Linked DNA regions of Kluyveromyces lactis. The protein of the gene in region 1 interacts with the protein of each later gene in a biochemical or structural test. Links are inferred from orthologs where the notes say so. Each region holds a gene or a part of one and is shown on either strand. Other genes may lie near its edges. The genes, in order: MEC1, RAD53, RAD55, RFA2 and DPB11.

Region 1 (5,207 bases):
AGGCTAATACATGATGCTGCTATTTGACAAATTTTGAGATCTCTATTTCTAAATTTGTAAGTGGAATCAAGCAATGCCCCCAATAACGTGGACAGGTGCGACGAATCGTCATGTTTTGTTACAACGTCGACATGTTTTCTGTGAATGGTTGTGCTGAAATACTTTTCCAACTCAAGCAGGGTTTGCAAAATGACATATCTATTGTTACTTCCGAGATTTTCTGTGAAAACCTTGAGCCAGTTGGTAGTTGAAATAACCTTCAAAACCTTACGAGCAACAGTGGGATGTCTCTCTAGGACCTGAAATTCTGGGTTATTTAAAAATGCGAGAAGTATGAATGGCCTTCCTTCAAGTACCAACTTTTGTCTATCTTTCAGCAACGTATCAAAAATCGCTTGGCATTCTAGCTTGCAAGAAGAACTAAATGTTGACCATTTCTGTAAGATCAAGCAGAACAGATCATTGATTATGGCTGTTATTTGCTCCTCATTCAAAAGTTTTATCAGCAAATGCCAGCATTCGAGTGTATTATGTTGGATTTCTGGTATCTCCGACCCTGTTTGTAAACATATACTCAGCTGAGCAAGTGCAGATATAATAGATTTCTTGGAAGCATATTTCATCAAAAAACTTATACCATTCAGTACTCGTAGTTTTTCATAATAAGAAGTTTTACCATCCGAATCATGCATATCATTCGAAAAAACTTGGAATATACCTAACACATTTTGCTCAAGTTTCTGCTGAAATTGTTCTTCCATTTCTTCGTTCCAATCTTCTATATTCTTAAATCTAGTGCCTCGTCTTTTATCTTTTGAGAAGTTTGTTATAAGAAGAAATCTTAATGAAGAGAGAACGCACCTTTCCGTTTCTGTAATTTGACCGTCTAATGTTAATATTTGTTTGCTCATCTTTAAAACTTCTGCTAATGTCTTGTAATCAGGCAAATATAAGGTAATATAATTCTTTCTAAATTTTGGCGCCGTATTTAGAAAAAGGGTTTGAATGGTTTCGATTGAAAAAAATCCATGTTTCACTAATGCTACTGCAAATATCTGTCTACTGTTCCTGTCTAAAAGCTTTAACTTCTTTTCCTCTACGAGAGATTTGTCATTACCGGACATGATACGAGCTACCTCAGTGATAACATCGCTCTTATATTGACCTAAAGCAGAAGGGACAACATATCTTTGAAAGTTCTCCAGTAGAGTCTTTGCAGGATAATCAACAAGTTGAACAATTCTCTGTAGACCTAGTTTCTTCTCAACCAAGCTTCTACCCATCTTTTTGAATAAAACAGGCAAAATTGGCGATAATAATTGGTACGGAGATTTCCCTTGAATTTTAGAGAGATACCGTAATTGTGCCGCCATCATTGTGTGCTCTGCGAAGTCACTCGAATTAAAAAGATCTATCAATTTCAAAAGCAAATCATCGAAGTATTCACTATTACAATTAATGATTAGGTTAATCCAACTCATATGTAAAGTTTCCGTCAAATATGGGGCCTTAGGCTTCTGAAGAAATATTATTAGGAATTTCAGGTTGATGTCTTCATACTTTGAGCCAAGGCTAGCAAAATAGGGAAGAAGGCGAACAGATAGAAGGCGTAAAAACCTTGATCTGCTATTAGATGCTCTTTGAAAGACCTGTAAACAACCGTAACCATCACTTTGTTGAATTAAGTCTGAAGTCTCTTCAAGTTTTGGAGGTTCAAATCGAGAAAATACTTCTATCAAAATAAGGACAACACCGGTGAGCATGGCTTCTGGCATATCTGTAATGGGTATGCTTTTTATAACGTGCTTGGCCAATAATTGAAATGCCAAAGACTTGTGCAATGGAACCAAGTTTAAAGATGATAGCCTCATATTTTGAGAGGCATTGAATTCCACCTGTGGAGATCTTACAAGATTGTTATTGACAAACTTTTCTTTTATAGCCAATTGTCTGATGGAATGCATCGAATGTGTCAATTTTGCGGTGTCACCATCCTTTATCGTGTTTAGTAATGATTCTTTCACCTTATCGTAGAAAGATCTTATATCAGCACTATCAGCTATACAATTTCGAACATTCCCAGAGACTAGACGTAGCTTCGGATTTTCTATGGCTTGATGAAGCCAATGCAATTGCTTATTAGAGAATGTAAACTCTTCCATCGATTCCAGGAACCCTAGTTTCACTGAAACGTATTTTATCGATCTAATAAACAGGGGATCAGCATTCTTATTCGTGTTGATCCATTCATGTAATTCGAATGTATTCTTGATCTCTGCCAACTTTGATTCGTCATGGATACAAAGGTACAAAGTCCGTAACAAAGTCTTGGCTAAAATGGTCGGAGAGATATGCTGATGATGATCTTTAATTAAAGTTTGTATGAGGTCAAACGAGAATCTGAATATTGACAATGACTCTTTAGATAAAGAGATGTAACGAACAAGTAATTGCAAGATGCTCGCAACTTCGACACTTGGTTCGTTAGTTGATTTCAAAACAAAGGCTAGCAATCGCATCAATTTCTGAAACTGACTTTGCCATCTTCTATAGCTGTAATTTCGAAGTAGTCCATCCCTCATAATCCAACCGTTCACTATCACTATTTTTTTCAAGAGGGAATGAAACGTCGGCTTCTCTAGCTTACCTCTCAGACATGTTACTAGTAACTTTTCATACTGAACCATTTGTTCAGTGAACCAAATCTGTAAATTGGAGGTCGATGCAAAAGAGTACGCTTTTAACCATGCACTCACGTATTTGTTTATAAGCCAAATATATTGCATATTGGACCAATGCATTAGCGAACAACTAACCATATTGTTTAAAATAACCTCGATCATAGTAATCTCTTTAACATTGGCTGAGAAAAGGTGTTGGTTGCATCGCAGAAATAAATCAAGTGCTTGAAAGGATTTGTGAAAGATCACCTCATCCGTATTCGTAGATTGCGTATTCTTCAACAATGTCTGTAGTAATTTCCCATTCTTTTCATCTAATTGCAAAGTGCTATCTAACTCTATACCATTTCCTACAGTTCCTGCTGATTTTAACGCCAGTATCAGTTCTTCCAGATATTTTACCCTAGGATTATCCATTTCCTATACGCTGAGAAGATATTACTCTTACACGGCAACTGCACTCTCAATCACACTCACCTAGGACGCCCTAACGAGAGAAAACTGTGTTTCTTTCATAGTCCAGCGTTTGTTTTTGGTTAGTTTCATTATTTATAATTTGACTTATATACAAATTTTGGTATCAATAAGGAATCTCAACACATACATAAATGTGGTATGTACATATGCTAAACACTTCTCCAGAAGTACAATTCAGGCGTCTTAAGCCATTTGCAAGTTTGACAACAGAAGACTAACTTACACAAAGTGTGCAGCCAGGAATTGCAGATCTTTGGGGAAACATTATTCTCTCTTATTAACAGTGTAACGCGTAAAACTGGAATACGATTTTCTTATTATTTCATTTTAAAGTCTTTAGTGGGTAGTTCATATATTTTGACTTTGTTGGCCTGCAGCAATTGATTTTTGCTGCTGCTGTGCGGCAGCATGCGCCGCACGTATTTCAGCCTCGTAATTCAGTGGTCTCTTAAATAGTAAAATATGTGGTTCAGGCGCATGGCATTCGTAATGTTCCCATCCCAGAGATTGTGTAATTCCTAACCCTCTCCATTCGTCTTCTGTTAAGATTCGCAAAGTACCAGTGTCTCCGTTGAAATAATCAGAAGGTATCACTTTTAGCATGGCCTTGGGAAGCATTACATGTCTGTATTCGTGTGTATCGTCGGAGTATCTTGGTGAATAATGAATGCTATCTTGAAATTCGAGAACTCTCGTTCTTTCCTGATCAGAAAGCTTTCTGCCTTGGAAAGCGTGCGTCGAATACATTGTTAGATTCGATCACAACTTAAGCTATACAATTGGAGTGTTAATTAACCCTAGACTACTGATGCTGGATCTTATTCGCTCATCACATATCATGTCTTTAGCATAACTGAAAAGATCTTAGGTATTAAAATAGTATTGTTTACAAAAAAAAAATGAAAATAAATATTGTTTAGGACAGAAACCAGATCCGTCACTATTGATGGTCAGAGATGAGGTAAAAGAATAGGACACAGAGCTATCACTGGTGTAGTGTCTACCATAATTACGGTATAGCTGAAGAAGGGTTTACCAATAAACGTTTGACTGTTGTTGTGAAACTGTTCTGCGTGCTGCGTTTGTGTGTTTGTATGTGCTGAAATGGCAAGTCGAAGTAATGTTTTCGTCGGGATCAAACCTCACAGTGAACATTCCGCTGATGTTCTTGGAACTTCTTCTACAGATAAAAGAGTAGAGAATTATGACTATGTGCTGCTGCCCTTGACAAATACCAGATACAAGGATGCCATGAAGGCCAAGTTTGAAGATTTTCGAGATCACGGTCATGGATGGAATGAAGAACTAAAGTTAGATCCTCCTCAATTGCAAGAGCTGGGGGTATTGCCATCTAATGGAAATGTTTCATATATTGGATTGGTCTCTTACTTTTTAGAGCTCGAGAGCCATGATGCTGATGTCCGGACTTTATCTTTGCAAGTGTTGGAGCACGAATTGCATTATGCAAATTTCGTTGGAATCAGACAGGTTATCTTAGCTCCTCCTAAAAAGTTACACACGCTTCATTACTACGCACAATCTTTGTGTACAGTATTTGATACTTTTAAAGAAGCGTGTCCGACAATATCTATTTCGTTACCTTTGTTTGAAGATTCAGATCCACTTTCGACTTGGGAACTGTGGAACACGATCAGGAAAATGTGCGGATACGAGCCTAAATTGACTGTATCTCTAGCTCTACCTAGACAGAAGACTCCCAGTTTTGTGCTAAACAGATGGCTGAGCGAACCTGTCACATGTCTTTTGATCTCTGCATCCATATTCACAACAAATCAATACAATTACCCTGTATTGAATAAATTTAATCAGCATTTAATCACTGAGTTCCAACGTGTTAACGGTAACGCATCAACATTTGGCGAACTAGCTATCGTTTTACATGGTATGGAGAAATACACGGATAAACTCAAAATTGAACCTACACAGTACCTAGAATACCTCAATTATTTATTGAAAAAGGGAGATAAGCTCATACTAATGGAGACCCAAGATGTTGTCCACAGTGCACCTACAATCATGCCTCCGCTA
Region 2 (5,166 bases), on another chromosome or scaffold:
TAAATGTTGGCTCGAGTTCAGTGCTTTTGTGCATACTTATAGGGAAGTAATCACGGAAATAAAACCAGACCTTTAGAGATCGGAACCACTTGGAGTGTCTCTTCACAGCGTTCCCATTGGAGGCAGTCCGGTCTATGAAATAATAAATGGTGTATGGTATTACAAACGACCACATCAACGGGTTAACCCAAACAAACAACATTATGATGATCATTAACGGAATACATTCGACATACCATGCTACGCTGAGAGTTTGAAGTCTCCTTTCTATGGGCGTATCAATAGCACAAAATTCTGGTTTCCCATCTTTGGAGACCCCTACTACAGAAGATTTACCATTTGCCACGGGTTGTGAACCCTTGCGTACCTTTTTAGTTTGTCTCTTTCTGATTTGTTCCTTACCCATCTTGTTCCAAGCCTCGAAGTAACTTTAATTACCTAGCAGCGAACCTTCTCAAAGTAAAACAGATAAGCTGATATTTACGTCTATTCTCAGAAGTAAATGATATTAGACGTTCAAGTTCAACAAAAAATGAACCTGCCCAGCTTTTGTCGATTAATTGTATCTTTGTTTACTGAGGCAAAACATTGCCTGATGTCGTTTTCCTGTTTTAAAGCAACTTTTTCCCTTAAAATAAAACTGTCAAAATCGTAATTTAATTGAGATCACTGAATCTTAACGTTGCAAGCTGTTGCCAATTGTACTGGTATGCACCATACCTATCAGTTTACATGGTTTTAGGGAAGTAATGATGGGTAGTTAATTTAACAAAAATATTATGTAGAGGAATGCATCTTTCCTATACAATGTCCAATTTATGAACTAGTAGTAAATATAAATAGACTTCAAAATCTGACGCGAAAGACTACTGAGCCCGGCTCTTGTATTTAAAGGGTTTCCTTGGGAAAAACTAACGGATGTAGTAGACTTTTTATCCAGTCCTGATTCTGGGAACAGGTCATTTAATTAGCAGATAGAATGGTAAGAAACTTAACATAACGTTATGGAGGTATGTGAGATTAATAATTTACGATTTTGTTATTTACCGTAACATTACGGTTAAAGTTGACGGTATGATTTGAACCTTCACCAGTAGATCAAAGCTGATATATAATTTTACTACATAGCTATCTCGTTGAAGGACATTATTGCAGTATTAATAAAACGAAAACTTATATATATCATTTCTTCAATCGGTTATGGGGAATTGTCTTAACGAATGTTTTAAACATGAATAGAACCTAGTTTTTTCAAGAAAAGGCTCTAACAGTTCAAATACAATAACGTTATATGAGCAAAATGCAAAGAATTTCTGAAAATTCGGAGTGTTATGCTTGATAGCAACCATATCGATTTATAATCTTTACTTCCATCTATTGATAAGTAAAGATTTTAAAGTCTTTGTAGCATGACTGGAGTTAGAATAAGAAACAGCTGATACAAGTTATTCAACCATGGTATTTACTAATTGATGCCATATGGATTGTTGCAGTATAAACCGGCTTCACATAGTTCTGAAGAAGATTCGGCACCAATCACCTGATGCCGCAATGTGCCATAATAGAACTTCTATCAATGATTCCGTTCTATTTACTCAAATTCCCACTCCAACGTTGTAGCAGTGCCGAGTAAAGACTGATCCATCTTTGATCATTGGCTTTGTATATATGTATGTACTTTTACGCGTCATTGTAATATTTAATGTTCATCGAATATTTACGCGATTTAAAGGTTGACATTTTTCTGAAATAATCTGGATCTTTGAATTGCAAAAGCGATCATACACATTATGAAAGAACGATTTATTCCATTATTCATTAGCTTTGTGTTGGCAGTTTAGTGGGTATACACAGTCACAACCGACTATAGAATAGCACACTTGTGAAAATCGTTCTATATTGAGGCATTAAGTTGTCCCTTTGAGGTTTGCCGTTACCTTTCCCAGCCTCTTTAGAGATCAACTGATCATTGCTGTGCAAACGAAGATATTGACATGGATGATATAACGCAACCGACACAACAAGCCACTCAGGCTACACAGAAGTACCTAATAGATAAGTTTTCTCAGGAGAAAATAGACGACGATGTGGTGTGCAGAGTAATATGTACAACTGGTCAAATAAGTCTACGGGACTTGAAGGTTCAACCTGAAAGTATATTCAAAAAGGAATCATCAATTAAAAAAACATGGACCTTTGGAAGAAACCAAGGATGTGATTATTATCTGGGGGATATTTCAAGACTGTCCAACAGACACTTTATGCTAATGCTGGGTGAAGAAGGAACTTTAATGCTGAAGGATACATCAACCAATGGAACATGGTTAAATGGAGCGAGGATACAAAAGGATACGAATCACATCTTGACCCAAGGGGATGAAATAAGTGTTGGAGTCGGCGTTCCCAGCGATGTCGTTAGTTTAGTGATTTTCATCAACGATAGTTTCAAAAATAGACTAAAAGAACTCAATATGATGAAGGATGTGACTTCACCTGCTTCATCTTCAAAGAGCAAATATCAGATATCAATGGGACATACAGAATTAAAAGGAATACACAAATACTATTCGATATCAGATTCGATTGTTGGTCAAGGTGCTTTCGCTACTGTGAAGAAAGCTGTCGAAAGGTCAACAGGCAAAACATTTGCGGTCAAAATAATTCATAAGAGAAAAGTAATGGATAAATTTGATGGAGTGAAGAGGGAACTAGATGTATTGCAGAAATTAAATCACCCCAGGATAGTTAAACTTAAGGACTTTTTTGAAGACAATGATAATTATTACATGTTGATGGAGTTTGTCAGCGGAGGCGATTTAATGGATTTCGTAGCAGCCCATGGAACTGTAGGCGAGGATGCCGGCAGAGAGATAACACGACAGGTTTTAGAGGCAGTAAAATACATGCATGATCAAGGAATTAGCCATCGAGACTTGAAACCTGATAATATAATGATAGAGCAAGACGATCCAGTTCTTATAAAGATAACCGATTTTGGCCTGGCAAAAGTACAAAATCAGAATACATTCCTGAACACTTTTTGTGGTACTCTAGCATATGTTGCACCTGAAGTTATAGACGGGAAAAATGCTGAAGATAAAACTAATCGAGATCTGTATTCCTCACTTGTTGATATGTGGTCAATTGGATGCCTAGTTTACGTTATTCTTACAGGTCACTTGCCTTTTAGTGGTCAGTCTCAGAATGAATTGTTCAAGCAAATAAAACGGGGCTCTTATCATGAAGGACCATTAAAGGATTATAGAATATCCGAAGAGGCAAGAAACTTCATAGATTGCCTGTTGAATGTGGACCCTAAAGAAAGAATGAACGCAGGAAAGGCCCTGCAACATCCATGGATGAAAATGGCATACGTTGATAGCATGCAGTCACAAATATCCATCTCACAATCCTTGTCCCAGCAACAATTTGTTGACAGTATGAATGAGGCTGAATACGAATCATACATTGCGAAAAAGAGGTTAGAGATTATCAAGAAAGAAATAACGGCGCCTGCTGCAGAAACTAATAAAGAGCCTGTATTCAAAAAACCACAAATTGCACCATCTAAAATTGCACAATCCCAAAACTTGCAGTTTAACTTTTCAAATCCTAATACTGGTAAAGCTATTAATGTTAATTATAAATCTGGTGAAGAAGGACTTTCAAACAATAAGAACAAAAAGATCAATAGACCACTTACAAAGGTCAATGGGGAGGGGCTATTTCTCACTTTGCATTCCTTACCTGGCTCATCTATTTCAGGTAAGGTCCAAGTAAAACAAGGGATAAATCCATTCTTCATCGGTAGGTCAGACGAATGCAACTGTAAAATTGATGATAATCGTTTATCTAGGATACATTGCTTCATATTGAAGAAAAGACACGCTGTCGGTGACAGTATTTATGAATCTCCAGCTCAAGGTCTTGATGATGTATGGTATTGCCAAAGTGGTACTAACTCAAGCTATGTTAATGGAAAGAAAATCACTCCGGGCACAAAGATCTTACTTCATGATGGCGATGAAATCCAAATTATATGGGATAAAATCAATGATGTCACTGTTTCTTTCCAGCTTGAGTTCAATGATACCACTGGTTTGTTCCACGAGGGGAAGCTGGATACCAATGAGAAAACAAACAAGACACTTCTACATAAACAGACACAGGAGGAGTTAGCTTTAGTCCCTAAGTTTATGGAATTTATGAAGTCTAGATCATCACAACATGCCAAATCTAATATAAACCAGTCCTCTTCCAGTAACATAGATGCCAACTCGCAAAATATCGAGGAATTAGATTCTGTCGTTGAGATGAACTCGACTACAGGATTGAAAAGAATACATTCAGTGTCGTTATCTCAATCTCAACCGCAGACAACCAAAAGGGCTAAGCTTGCCCAAGCCCAGAAACCAGATATTGAAGGATTTCTCTGAGCTGATCATATGCTTGCCGGATGGGTTTTGCATACAGTAAATATGAAAAATAGGTACACTTTGAGTATGCTAGATAGACTTTTCAACGTTAATTGATGTAATACTAATACAAATTGGTTCAAAAGCACTATAGACCAGCAGTCAATAACACTAGGTAGAAAACATGCTGTGTTCGCAATAACATTGTTGAGAAATTATTGCTGGCAAACATTCGTTACAAACCTATATTTTTCGAAGAGTCATAGGTTCAGTAATACTGTTCAGAATTTTCATTATATTAAAACTACTCGTCCCTCAGTCATGAGATCTCGTATTACACTATAACGTATTACGTATACTGCCCCGATTAATAAGTAAATTTCTTCATTTAAATCTTCAATAATCACTGAGTAACAGTGTTTTCCATCATCATCGGTCGTTAATTTCGAATCAATACCACTTTCGTCAACTACCCCACCACAAACTAGTATAAATACAGTTTTATTCCAATCGGGTTCATCAATCATACTGATGGAACCCTCAGTATCGTTAACGGCTTGCAGTTCTTCTGGTAAGTGCTTAAGTACTGCGTTGTTAAACAGTTTTAGTAATATGTCAGAATGCTTCATATGGTACTTCACCTCTTCTTTGGACATCAATAAATCTAGTCTGCTGAGGCCCGCATTATTGGGTAGTTCGGATTGTTGTCTTAGGTAAATGCTGTATTTGTCAATTTTGCTTAACCGGCATC
Region 3 (3,935 bases), on another chromosome or scaffold:
GCTTTCTTCACCTGGCAATTTATTTTAGTCACAAGATCTACGCAATTTTTTCCCTCTCCATTGCAGCACTGTCATACCAAAAAAAAAAGATGAACATGACAATAATAGAAACAATCTTTGTCACAACAAATATCCACTTTAGTCCAATTAAGTAAAATCGAGAATAGTAAACAAAAAATGGAGTTGTACGCAGATACAGCAGAAACCCTCAAAATAGAAGCCGTCATCCCTCAAATGGCTCTTCCCAAACAATAAGCAAAATCTAATTATCCAGTCATTTCTTCCTGTTTCTGCGTAATTCCATACCCGCATTCGGTTTGGCCATATTAAAATGGAAGCCGGCTATTTTACAAACAACACCTACAAGGACATATGTTGCTTATACAATGGAGCTAAGTGGGCCGATCACAGATTGCTCCACCTCAGAACCTTCATTGACACTTTATGACAGGTTGGAACGGCTGAAACATGTAAAAAACAAGATTAGCTTGTTAAATTCATATCTGTAAACCTAGCAGTAACAATAAAAGCAAAACAAACAAATTTTTCCTATTTGAATTCCAATAATAGAAAAGTTAGTGGATTCAAGGTTCAAGAGCTCTTAAAACCGGCCAATGAAAACCGTCCCATGTCGATTACTAAAGTTGGCATAGATCACGTCAGATCTATTTTGATGCCCTTTGGGGATCTCTCGAAGGAGAAAATGGAAAAAAAAGACACATGCACCCATACACCACATCATTAGTAATTTCCATGATCTCTCTTTTGGTTTCCGTGGAGATTCCTGGAAAAGCGTCCGATGACGAATGTGAGATATATTGGGCACCACTCGTGACCGTATCTAAGGAGGAAGGGCGCAATTCTTAGTTGCATATTTTATTCACTTAAAAGTGACAAAATTAGGTCGGCTTCCTGTTTGTAATGTGTTCCGTTCTATCCTTCACTATCATATATGATAGCGTCGTTGTCAGTGCCTTCAGTTCCATGAGTTGCCACAATGTTGTCTGAATGAACGATTCGTGGTGTAAACTGGATTGATTGCGAAGAGTTTGGTGTTACGGGCTGACTGTGACTTTGAACATCTAATAGCATACGGCTCGGACTTGGCTCCGTGTATAAAACCCGTCTTCTCTTGTTTGGGGGAAGCACCGGTGCTGCGGCTACTGCAGCAGCAGCAGCTGTCGCACTTGAGGAAGTGTTCGTAGGAAGAAGATTGTCAGTGACAGCAGTTGTTGGGTTTTCTGCGACTATAGTTGTGTGACAGCTATAAAAGTTCCCAGATTCATTAGTCTTAACCCAAACCAGTTTATTCTTCGAGCCCACTGGCTGTTGATGTTGTACAACAAACTGCCGTGATACCTCGGGGATGATTCTTTTCTGGGAGTTAGGATTCTGCTTTTGTTCTGCATCCCAATTCCAGAACACACCGATCCTGCATCGAAGAAACACCTCCCAACGGGCATCTTTACTTCCAACGGCTGCATTTGCTACTAATCCACTCTTCAACACTTGCACGTGACGTTTCCGTTGAGATTTCACGAGGAAATTGCTAAAGGAACCATCTGAGTGGGTTCCGTTGCTGGGATCGTTGTATGAGACAACTGCATCGTCTGAATAGTCCTGGTAACCTGTGTTCATAGCGTCATTAAGTAATACCACCACCGTATTGTTTGAAGTGGCGTATTTAGTTATGGTGACAAGCAATTGTATCAAACTTTTCACCTTGAAATCGTGCAAGGTCTGTCGATGGTTAGAATATCCACTGTTCTTCTCGTACATATGGAGATACTCTACCAAAAGCTGAGATAAACCATCGATTATTATGAGCCCGTACGTCTCTTTTAAATTCTGAAACATGTACCACAGTTGAGCAAATTTCTTCACTCTTGCGAATTGGCACCCTTTGAAATGGACTTCGTCCTCATCTCCTTGCTCTATAAGCTTCAGTGGTACTTGCTGGAACGTGTCAATCCACAGACATTTCATCCTATTCTGATTATTGTTCACTAATTGTACCGCGAACTTTGTCTTGCCAATTCCTGGAGGTCCGTAAACCTCGTAGATACTCTGTGGTTGGAATCCGTCATTCAATGAATCGTCTAAACTCTCAATGCCACTTCGTACATGATCTGCACGCGCTTGTATCAGTTGAGACAAAGGTACACCAAATGACATTAGAATGCTATCAACTAATCACCAAACGCGTCCACAGTTTCTCCTGGTTCTTCAAGCCTTTCAAGACTATGTATAACTAGCCTTTTAAATCCGCATAATTCACCTTTAGGTGTAACTAAAAAATGTCATCAAGTCCGTAGACAACTCAGCTCAATAATGTTTGTTTTATTTACCAGGTTTTTGCTGTGATTATGTTATTCAAAAATATAAAATAAGAAAAGATAAGAGGGAGTAATAATACTTGAATTTAATCATTGAAAGAATTGAAATTAAAAACTCGAAGGTTCTTCCCACGAATCTCCTTGTCTACCTCTTGTCGGATTATATCCTACGGGTGTATCTTATTTGGACTTTATTGATTATTAGTCTAGTTCATTAAGCTAGAGAAGATAATGAGTTCCGGGTAACATTTCAAATCTTAAAATTTTTCTTAGCATTCAACATTGCCGAACAGGAAAAATTGAAATCATTTCGACTTGTATCAATTCATGAATCTAAAATGCATAACTAGAAAGTCTACTATTTCTTGCTCAATGCATCCTATTTACATTCTTCCTAGAGTTTCGGAACGATTGATATAATTGAGGCAACTAACTAAAAATATTTAATGTCAATGTTTGGGCGTCAACTGTTCAGAGGAATACACACAGTTCCAAAGATACCTGGTATTTCACAACTTTTGGATTCAGGCATCCCTCATGTTATGAGCGCTAACACATTCAAAACTTGCTGGGTTGACCAGCAGCAGCTTTTGTGCGATAAGCTAACACTGGCATCTGCAGGAACTGCCGCAGAATCCTACTTGCCATTCCATTTAGTACTGCACACTGCGAAGAAATCATACCAAACAAACATTTTCAATTTGGCTAGTGCTTTGCACAATAACCATTTGTTCATAGAAAACATATTGCCTATGGAACAAGTTACACATCCATCTCGTGAGTTTCTACAGAAGCTAGAATCACAATATTCAATGACTTGGGATGCTTTTAAGGATGAAATGGTTAGACATGCAGAAGAAGATGTGTTAGGTCAAGGATGGCTATTCCTTGTGGAAAATGATGCCAAGGAACTTCACATCCTAACAGTTCAAAATAATGGTACTCCATACTACTTTGCTAGAAACCAATCTTTCGATTTGAACAGTGCTCTATCCTTAGAAGAAATGGAACAGTTTGTAACGATGAGAGATCTACTTGCCGCAAATGCAGACGTTAAAGATTGGACAATGCCTTTGATTGCGATCAGTTTGTGGGACCATTCATACTTGAATGATTACGGTATTAAGGGCAGATCCACTTACGTAAGGAAGTGTTTAGATAACTTGAACTGGTCTGCGGTTAACAACAGATTGTTCTCCACACAATAGGAGTATACCAGTACTTCCAATCATAAATAGACTGTTGGCTCTCTTTAAAATATGGGTCTTAATTACATGTACATAGTCACAAATGCAATATAACCGTTTGCGAATAGCTCACAATCCTCTCTCATTATTAGCGTATCTCTGGTTGATATAGGCAAGAGCGGATAAGGTACGGAAAACGGTATTCAACTAAAACTTCAACATCAAGTATAAAATACTTCCAAAACTCTGAGGAACTTGAGAACTCGTCCTTGTTAGCTCAGTTGGTAGAGCGTTCGGCTTTTAAGCATTGCTCGCAAGGAACCGAAATGTCAGGGGTTCGAGCCCCCTATGAGGAGTTCTTATTTTTTCGTATTTGCAATAACCATCATAATATTCACTGGCCGGGAATGTT
Region 4 (3,358 bases), on another chromosome or scaffold:
GTCGTGGTACCGACATCGAAGAAGATGAGGACTTTGACGATGCTGTCGAGCAATTTGAAAATGCTTATAATTTCCGTTACGAGGATCCAAATGCTGCAGAAATTGTTTCTTATGCACGTACACAAGCTACACTCAGAAGATCTGCAACCTCATCTCGTAGAAGAAAGAGAGATGAGGAAAAGGCTATTAAGGATAAAGAGGAAGAAGAGAAGCAAAAGGCAGTCCAAAAGAAAAAGAAGGAAAAGGTTAACCAACTTACTGATGTTTTAGAGCAAGTAAAGAAAGAATATGGTGCTGATATCAAAGAAGAGCATGTCAAAGCCTTAACCGATACCTTAATAAACGGAAACTTCGAAGATGGGAAATGGGATGAAGTCATCGGTACCATCTTTAACGACGAATTCTACAACCAGGAAGATAAACCAACATGGGATGAGAATGACGATATCATGGGAGAGTTTTATGCTGAACAGGAAACCGAGGATCATGCGGAAGACGATGAGACCTTGGCATCAGACTCTGGAGAGCCAAAAAAGAAGAAATCAAAGAAGGACAAGATACAAGAGAAGAGAGACAAAAAAAAAGATAAGAAGCAGTTACATGAGATGGTAGAAAAAGCAGTCGACGAACGTAAGGTAGACATCATAGAGCAGGTGGAAGAAGAAAGAGGACGTTCGACAGAGAAAAATTCTGAAGTTAAGTTTAGATACCGTGAAGTGTCTCCAGAATCATTCGGATTGACTACGCGAGAAATATTCACAGCTGATGACGCCGATCTAAATGAGTTTATCGGCTTGAAGAAGTTTGCACCATATAGACCAAAAGAACTGACGTCAAAGGATAGAAGAAAGGTTACTAAGAGCAGGCGACTAAGGGAATGGAGAAAGAAAGTTTTCAATACCGAAGAAGGCCTCACCGGTGATGAATTAGCAATTCCTCTGAACGACGGTGAAGCTCATCAAACCTCTAAAGAAAAGGAAAGATTGAAGAATAAGAAGAGAAAGAGAAGAGATTAAAGATTAACTTATTCAGCATTATTTAGTTAACTTACATATAAATATTATTGTAATCATCAAATTCCATCCTAATGTTGCTGCCGAGAGGAAATTAAACTTGGTTACAGTATCCTTTCTTGCCACATATTTGCATTATTCTTTGTCCTTGTATACTGTGCTAAGATTTCTGCCATACTAATTCTTTATTTATATTACCCTGCCAAACACGAACCAAATCTTTGAAAGGGAAAACGCGTAACTTATTCATAATCTTCTGAAGAGAGGATATGAGCTTTGTGAATGGCAAAACTGATATTCAATGGAGGATAACCAAGAACTGGGTTATCTTCGGCAGAAGGAGTCAATAAACAGAAGCTAAAGAAAACTGACACAATGACCAGTACGTTACGATGTTTTTCCGAAACTATTTATTTAGGTTCAGTCTTGTTCCCATTACTAACACTTTCAATAAAACTAATCACCACTCCTCCTTTATCCAGCTTATCATCCATATAATGAATATTCTAATATTAATGCTGGTGGATTTGATAACTCAGATCCAAGCCAATCTTCCAGACCAAATTCCGGTGGACAAAATGCCAACACTTTGACTCCTGTGACAATTAAACAGATGCAATCCGCAAAGCAACAAATTCAAGATGGACCATACGTTATAATGGGTCAAGAACTTCACCATGTGTCATTTGTTGGTGTCATTAGAAACGTTGCTGATAATACATCGAATGTTACTCTTACAGTTGAAGATGGGACTGGGCAAATCGAATTCCGAAAATGGACTAATGATAGCAATGATATGTCGCACGCCTCTCAAGAGGACCAAAATGGTGATTATAACTCGCAAGTAGCACAAGACTACTCGGTAGGGAAATACATCAAGGTATACGCTTCTCTAAGAGAATTCAGTGGTAAGATGAATGTACAATACGCTGTAGTAAAGCATATTGATTCATTCAATGAAATTCTAGCACATCACCTGGAGGTAATTAAGGCATTTGCTGTGGCTAACGGTAACTTGAGTGTTGACTCAACGGTGGCAGTTAACGGAGCTAATACTGAAACCAATAGTTTATTTGTACAAGATAACGAGCCTCCAAAATCAGCCACTGAAAAAGTTTTGGATTTTATCAGAGCCCAGTGCGCTGGCAAGGATTCAAACTCTTTCTCTGTGCAGACTAAACTTATCTCTCAATCTTTGAACATGATTGAAGATGATGTCAGAATGTATTGTCAAACTCTAACAGAACAAGGTTACATATACCCTACCTTCGACGAGTTCACCTTCTTTATCTTATAATTTTTTACATATTTTTGTGTATAAGTTCGATTTCAACATCATAATTATCATTTTAAAAAAGTACTTTCATTTTGGGCGACGAATCAGCAGTTATGATCCCAAATATATCATTGGCATCTGTACTGAACTACGTTGTGTCACCTTAGCTATATTAAGATGACGCGGTTATTCTATGTGTTATTTTATTTACTATTTTTTCATATATATGTTGGTAATTGGCTGCGTCAGTGACAGATTATAATATAAGAAATATAAACACAAAAATTCATATCTGCAATCATACAAGATGCAGAAATCTCAGTGAAGCCTGATATCCCTGCAACAATCAACACAGAATTTAGAAATAAACATACACATTCAAGAAAATGCATAGATTGATAATAGGTGTACTTTTCTTTGTCTCCTCTGTTTTAGCTGATATACACCCCATAGAAATTCGAGGAAAACACTTTTATGATTCTGTCACAGATGAACCATTCTTTATAAGAGGTATTGACTATCAACCAGGTGGATCTAGTGACGTTACAGATGAAAAGGATCCCTTATCAGATGTTTCCGTTTGTGCAAGAGATATACCTTTGTTTCAGGATTTGGGAATCAATGCAGTGCGTGTTTATTCGTTAAATCCAGATCTAAACCATGATAAATGTATGACAATGCTAGCAAGTGCTGGAATATATCTAATCCTTGACGTGAACTCACCTTTAATAAATCAGCACTTAAATCGATATGAACCCTGGACTACTTATAATCCAATTTATTTAGAACATGTTTTCAAATTGATTGCACAATTCATTCCTTATAATAACACGTTAGGCTTTATTGCAGGAAACGAAATAATCAACGACAAAAGGTCTGCTCAGAGATCTCCACCGTATATTAAACAGTTGGTGGGAGATATGAAGGGGTACATCAAAGCTCACTCTCCTCGAGCAATTCCTGTTGGATATTCGGCCGCTGATGATTTGAAATATAGAGTATCATTATCCAAGTATTTGGAATGCGAAGATAAAGGAACTCATGATTCTTCTGTGGACTTCTATGGTGT
Region 5 (4,750 bases), on another chromosome or scaffold:
AAGTATTAGTACAATGGACACCGCAGGGTCAGAGACAGTCGAAGTCCCGGTTAGTACCGAGATCATTCGTTGGTGCCATGACGTCCCCAAGAGATATGGGAAGATTTGGTTCGAGTTCAAGTACTTATCAATTAATCGTATTACATCCTCAGCAGATAAGGGGATATTAATCGGTACACCGCTCGGTGAAAGTGGGAAATGTCGGTTAAGGTACGATAGAACCGGGTCCTGTACGATAGACCTTGTATACTGGAAAGACTTCAACTGAGATTTATTATGGTTGACGATCGAATTCCAGGTGAAATTACCTAGATACACTTGGTCATGGATATAGTTTGGGAATTTATGGAAAGTATCATTGATAAAGGGTAGGAACGTGGACGCAGGGGCCTGGGCCGGTACTGGCGCTGCCGATGCCGCTGGAGGAACCGAAACAGAAGACTTTGTTCCCATTTCCCCCACAGAGTTAAGGAATTCCTGGCCAGCAGGAATAACACCCGTCTGTGCAGTAGCTGCCACGGCAGCTACTGCACCATCAATCACGGTCTCACCGTTCTCGTCCACCATCCCACAAAGCCGCTGCAACTTAATCACCTCGTTCTCCAACATCTCCGTGTAACCCCTAGGGAACCCGCGTCTTGTAAGCTTATCACTAGTCGAACAATGGTACCCTATCTTCTTACAATTGGAACAACTAGGCTTGATACCGTCACATTTAATCTTCTTAAGCCTACATCTATCACATGCCTGTGAAAACCGTTTCACTTTTGTTGATGCCGTAGGCATCAACAATTTCTTCTCATTGTGTTTGTCGACTTTCCCATATTTACGCTTCTTACCTGACTGACTGCTACTGTCATCACTGCTATTACCAGTAGACATCTTACCAGCAAGCACGCCCTTTACATCATCCTGCGAAACACTTGGCATAGTGATATATACATATACTTGGCGCTACTACAGGAAGCTTATAGCAAGCTTACGTTCCAAACAGAAAAAAAAACATCTGATACCTACCATAAACCTTCCGGTTCATGGTTATATGGCAGAACGTTTCCCCAGGTCCGTTTGTCTTATATATCTGATTCAGAATCATGAATAATAATAATAATATTTGGCTATAAAAACCCTCGAGAAATCTAATTCAAGAAACTAAGGCAAGAAGAAACTACCTTTTAACAAGCCAAGAGAATAAACCAATGAGATAACCGAGATAGCTGGGACGTTTGAAGAATTTCCCTTAATTGATGGATCCCAGAAACTGACATTTGTGACATTTCCACAAGTGACGTTGGACATATTATTCAGTATTCGGTATGCTATAGACTATATAAGAGGGCTAATTAATATGCGTTAGTAGTGTGTAATTCCAGTTTTGCAATTGTCCCTTTCAGCCGGATCTGGGGAAAGGAAGTTTTGGGGACAAAAAAAGCGGTTCTAGGCGCGGTTTTCCGTGTAGTCAGCAAAAAAATTTGTGCAGTTATATCGGTTTATCGTAGGGAGAGTAAGGACCTGAAAGGATTTGTCCGGATGAAAGGCTAACGGGGAGAAGTCACAAGTCCGAATGGTGTATGGGTGGCGATGTTTGCCTGCTTCTTGCAATTTCACATGTGACAGATATATGAGTCAGCTGGACGGTTGCTGACAAGGATGATGACTCGACGGGGGGGGCGCCGGAAGGGGGAGATTCGCTGTAGTCACGTGGTTAGTGTTTAATTTTTGGTTTTGGTTTTCGTTTTCTCAGGGTAACCCTGGGTAGCTTGTGTTTTTCGTCCACGTGACCTGTAAACAAATGTCATTTTACAACTCTTCTCTGTTTATTATTTTCCACACATAAACGCGTATTTACACAGATATCCAATCCATCCTTCCTTCCTTCACATATGAATGGTGATGATGTGTCTAAAAAGCTGGAACAAAGGTGTAGATAGCTTCTTCTTCTTCTTCTTCTTCTTCCTCAATTCTCCCTGAAGTAGAGCAAACATGTCCGGCAAACCATTTCAAGGACTGGTGTTCTGTCCTACGTCTCTCCCGTTGTCGGTTTCTGATACCATCTCACATAAAGTGACAAAACTCGGTGGGACTTATACCAAGGATTTGACAAGACTAGTCAACGTATTGGTTGTTGGAGAGTTATTCACCGCAAAGTATAACTTTGCTGTCAAGAATAGAACTGATATCGTGTTTGTTAGTCCGGGATCCGTTGATCAGTTGTACGATGCGTGGCTCGCAGGAGAAGATCTGTTGCAGTTGGCTAAATTCGATATGTCCCAGTACTTAAAATCGAAGTACTCTATCGGGTCGTTTGAAAAATTTAACTTGTTCATTGGCAGAATACGACCTAATAACCATTATTCTCTTGAGTCGTTGGTTCAGTTGTGTAAATTGGGTAAAGTGAAATCGGTAGATACCACGCATTTCATTAGGAACTCTTCGTCATCCAATGCATGCATTTCGTTGTTTATTACCGATGATTTATCGGGGAACCGTGTCCAGGCTGCTTTAGAAGAGAACGTTCCCGTAGTGCATCCAAAATGGATCATTGATTGTATGGACAGATCAGGGACTCTAGACTTTCAATCTTTCTACCTGTTGAAAAATTGTCATGAACTTGAATACTCTGACATTGGTTCTGGTTCGTACATTCGTGACGTTCCAGATAAGAAAAAATCTGTAACTGAACCAAATCCCATGGGTGTACAAGATGATTCGGTGAATCCGTTGAAGATTGCTATAGATAAATTTAAGCCTCAAGCGAATCAGATATGGGGGAAACTATTGGCAAGAGATGGTGATGCTTCAGCGTCAAAGTCCACTGATATTAAGGAAGCCACCCCAACGCATCAAGAATGCCTTGGTGAGACAAAGGATACACCGACCTTCCTGGACTGTCACTTCGTGCTATTCAAGTTCGAAAAAAGACAGGTTACTATCTTATCTAATGTCATTCGCGGTAATAAAGGAACGTCTTCCCTCTTCGAGGATACATCACCGTCACCGGCACAGCTGAAGGATAAGACCATTTATTATATCTGTCCAAGTGGATTTCCGGCAAATCTACTGCCGAGAATCCCAAATGAATCATCGTGGTTGACAGAATTCTTCATCGAACGATGTTTGTATTACGAACAACTCCTACCTCCGGATTTTTGGTCAAAACCTTTCTACAACGATTTCAATATCATTCCACCTAAATCGGTGTTACATGGCCCTAAACTTTCCTTCCATATCACAGGGTTCCATGGCGTGGAATTACTACACATCAATAAAATTATAGACTTTTTGAAGTTGATTGGTTTTGACCATCATGAGAAATTGACGAAGAAGACGGATTTCTTACTCGTTAACATCTCCCAATTGACTTCAATACCACAGGAACATACTTTAAGGCAAAATAAGTACGCGTCAATGTTCAGGACAGATTTGGATATGAAGATCTCTGTAAATCAAGCTCAAATGTTTAGAAATTCAATGAAACGGAAAATTGAATTCGTTAAGCAAGCTCATCATATTCCCATCCTAACTCCAAGTTTTGTCATTGAACTCTTCCAAAGAGCAATGAAACCTAATAAGACTTCCATGAACATCTACTTTAATGACGTTAATTGGTGTATTTCTTGTCCCAAGGGTTCTAAATCTGACTTTGCACTACAAATAATTCCAAAGGAAAGAGGAAACGAGGATCCTTTGCTAGAGAAACCCGCTCCTGTTGATATTGCGGCACCTCTGTCAACTGCCTCTTCTGCATCAGCAGAACTACCTCATGTTCCAAATAGAGGGAACCGTTGGGGGAAACTTCTTTCAAATAATGTAGATACAGAGAATGAGGAATCAAGCTTTATCCAAACTGTAGGTCATGATAGTGACCATCTTTCGCATACTCAGATCACGTACGGATCAGCATCAACGTCGACATCTGTGCAGCAGAATTTGAAAAGAAGGAAGATTTCTACCAGAAGCCAAGCTAAAGACATCATTTCTCATGTTTCATAAATCTCATGTATTATTACGTCACGCCATATATATGTATGTATATATGTATACATATCCATTCGGATATTATCTGTAACAAGATCATTAACATTCTTATTCTGCTTAGAAGTGCCTCTAACTCCTAAATGTGTGTCATTTTTACGTGTCTGAACCTATATTCCAGATTTACTCTTCTGTGCATGCTTCCTTTAAAAGTGAAAATATTGACAAGTGTCATTCTACCTGTTTATTAAGCTCTAGATCAATGAAGGTTCAATAAAGGAAGTAAGTACAAGAAACGTATACAGGCTCGGGGATATCAGACCATGGATGCTTCTGGTGTAATTGATGAATTGAAACACCGGAAGGAAGCTTTCGTTACCGGACACTCCGGAAGTTCAATTGCAGATTTACGAGATGTCACATTAGCCGGTATTTTTTCTAACGCCGCTTGGATCTACGTCGTTTCGAACAATCCCAGCTACCGGGACTCCTTCTGGTTAGATTTCTTATTGAATTGGATGGGTCTCCTCTGTAGTGTTACTGTATTTGGGGAAAACCCATTTCTTACAGGTATATTAGGTTTAAGTGCGGTGCTATTATTTGGATGTATATCTAAGGGAAGTAAACGCGAAACGATTAAAGAAACTGTAATGGACAATGGCAACCAGTCAGCAACCCTCACAGTGTATAGGAGTACAATGCTGATCTTAACTTCCATTGCCATATTGGCTGTAGATTTCCCTATCTTTCCTAGGAAATATGCCAAGGTAGAAAC

The links.
Region 2: of the proteins of MEC1 (region 1) and RAD53, one has a biochemical effect on the other in vitro, tested with the Saccharomyces cerevisiae proteins (10 studies listed by BioGRID). The link is inferred for Kluyveromyces lactis from reciprocal best matches to the Saccharomyces cerevisiae genes MEC1 and RAD53.
Region 3: of the proteins of MEC1 (region 1) and RAD55, one has a biochemical effect on the other in vitro, tested with the Saccharomyces cerevisiae proteins (2 studies listed by BioGRID). The link is inferred for Kluyveromyces lactis from reciprocal best matches to the Saccharomyces cerevisiae genes MEC1 and RAD55.
Region 4: of the proteins of MEC1 (region 1) and RFA2, one has a biochemical effect on the other in vitro, tested with the Saccharomyces cerevisiae proteins (6 studies listed by BioGRID). The link is inferred for Kluyveromyces lactis from reciprocal best matches to the Saccharomyces cerevisiae genes MEC1 and RFA2.
Region 5: the proteins of MEC1 (region 1) and DPB11 form a complex in vitro, tested with the Saccharomyces cerevisiae proteins (3 studies listed by BioGRID, with this or other methods). The link is inferred for Kluyveromyces lactis from reciprocal best matches to the Saccharomyces cerevisiae genes MEC1 and DPB11.

What each region holds. Positions count from the first base shown.
Region 1 is NC_006039.1:1,371,646-1,376,852, forward strand, and holds the start of MEC1 (protein kinase MEC1), read right to left. Parts: upstream 3,099-5,207; coding exon 1-3,098. Other genes in the region: cyclin-dependent protein kinase regulatory subunit CKS1, read right to left, coding at 3,507-3,905; HSL7 (protein arginine N-methyltransferase), read left to right, coding at 4,263-5,207. UniProt on the Saccharomyces cerevisiae protein: Serine/threonine protein kinase which activates checkpoint signaling upon genotoxic stresses such as ionizing radiation (IR), ultraviolet light (UV), or DNA replication stalling, thereby acting as a DNA damage sensor.
Region 2 is NC_006042.1:1,025,399-1,030,564, reverse strand, and holds RAD53 (serine/threonine/tyrosine protein kinase RAD53), read left to right. Parts: upstream 1-1,994; coding exon 1,995-4,436; downstream 4,437-5,166. Other genes in the region: DGA1 (diacylglycerol O-acyltransferase), read right to left, coding at 1-406; DNA replication protein SLD5, read right to left, coding at 4,709-5,166. UniProt on the Saccharomyces cerevisiae protein: Controls S-phase checkpoint as well as G1 and G2 DNA damage checkpoints. Phosphorylates proteins on serine, threonine, and tyrosine. Prevents entry into anaphase and mitotic exit after DNA damage via regulation of the Polo kinase CDC5.
Region 3 is NC_006041.1:117,030-120,964, forward strand, and holds RAD55 (putative DNA-dependent ATPase RAD55), read right to left. Parts: upstream 2,176-3,935; coding exon 934-2,175; downstream 1-933. Other genes in the region: RSM26 (mitochondrial 37S ribosomal protein mS42), read left to right, coding at 2,783-3,544. UniProt on the Saccharomyces cerevisiae protein: Required for radiation resistance and meiotic viability and presumably acts in recombination and recombinational DNA repair pathways.
Region 4 is NC_006041.1:666,859-670,216, reverse strand, and holds RFA2 (Rfa2p), read left to right. Parts: upstream 1-1,626; coding exon 1,627-2,310; downstream 2,311-3,358. Other genes in the region: KRI1 (Kri1p), read left to right, coding at 1-1,016; GAS4 (1,3-beta-glucanosyltransferase), read left to right, coding at 2,676-3,358. UniProt on the Saccharomyces cerevisiae protein: Binds to single-stranded sequences participating in DNA replication in addition to those mediating transcriptional repression (URS1) and activation (CAR1). Stimulates the activity of a cognate strand exchange protein (SEP1).
Region 5 is NC_006042.1:1,325,105-1,329,854, reverse strand, and holds DPB11 (protein kinase activating protein DPB11), read left to right. Parts: upstream 1-1,983; coding exon 1,984-3,993; downstream 3,994-4,750. Other genes in the region: SIP4 (Sip4p), read right to left, coding at 1-930; GWT1 (glucosaminyl-phosphotidylinositol O-acyltransferase), read left to right, coding at 4,299-4,750. UniProt on the Saccharomyces cerevisiae protein: Has a role in the initiation of DNA replication. Required at S-phase checkpoint. Required for the association of PSF1 with origins. Also required for the proper activation of RAD53 in response to DNA damage and replication blocks.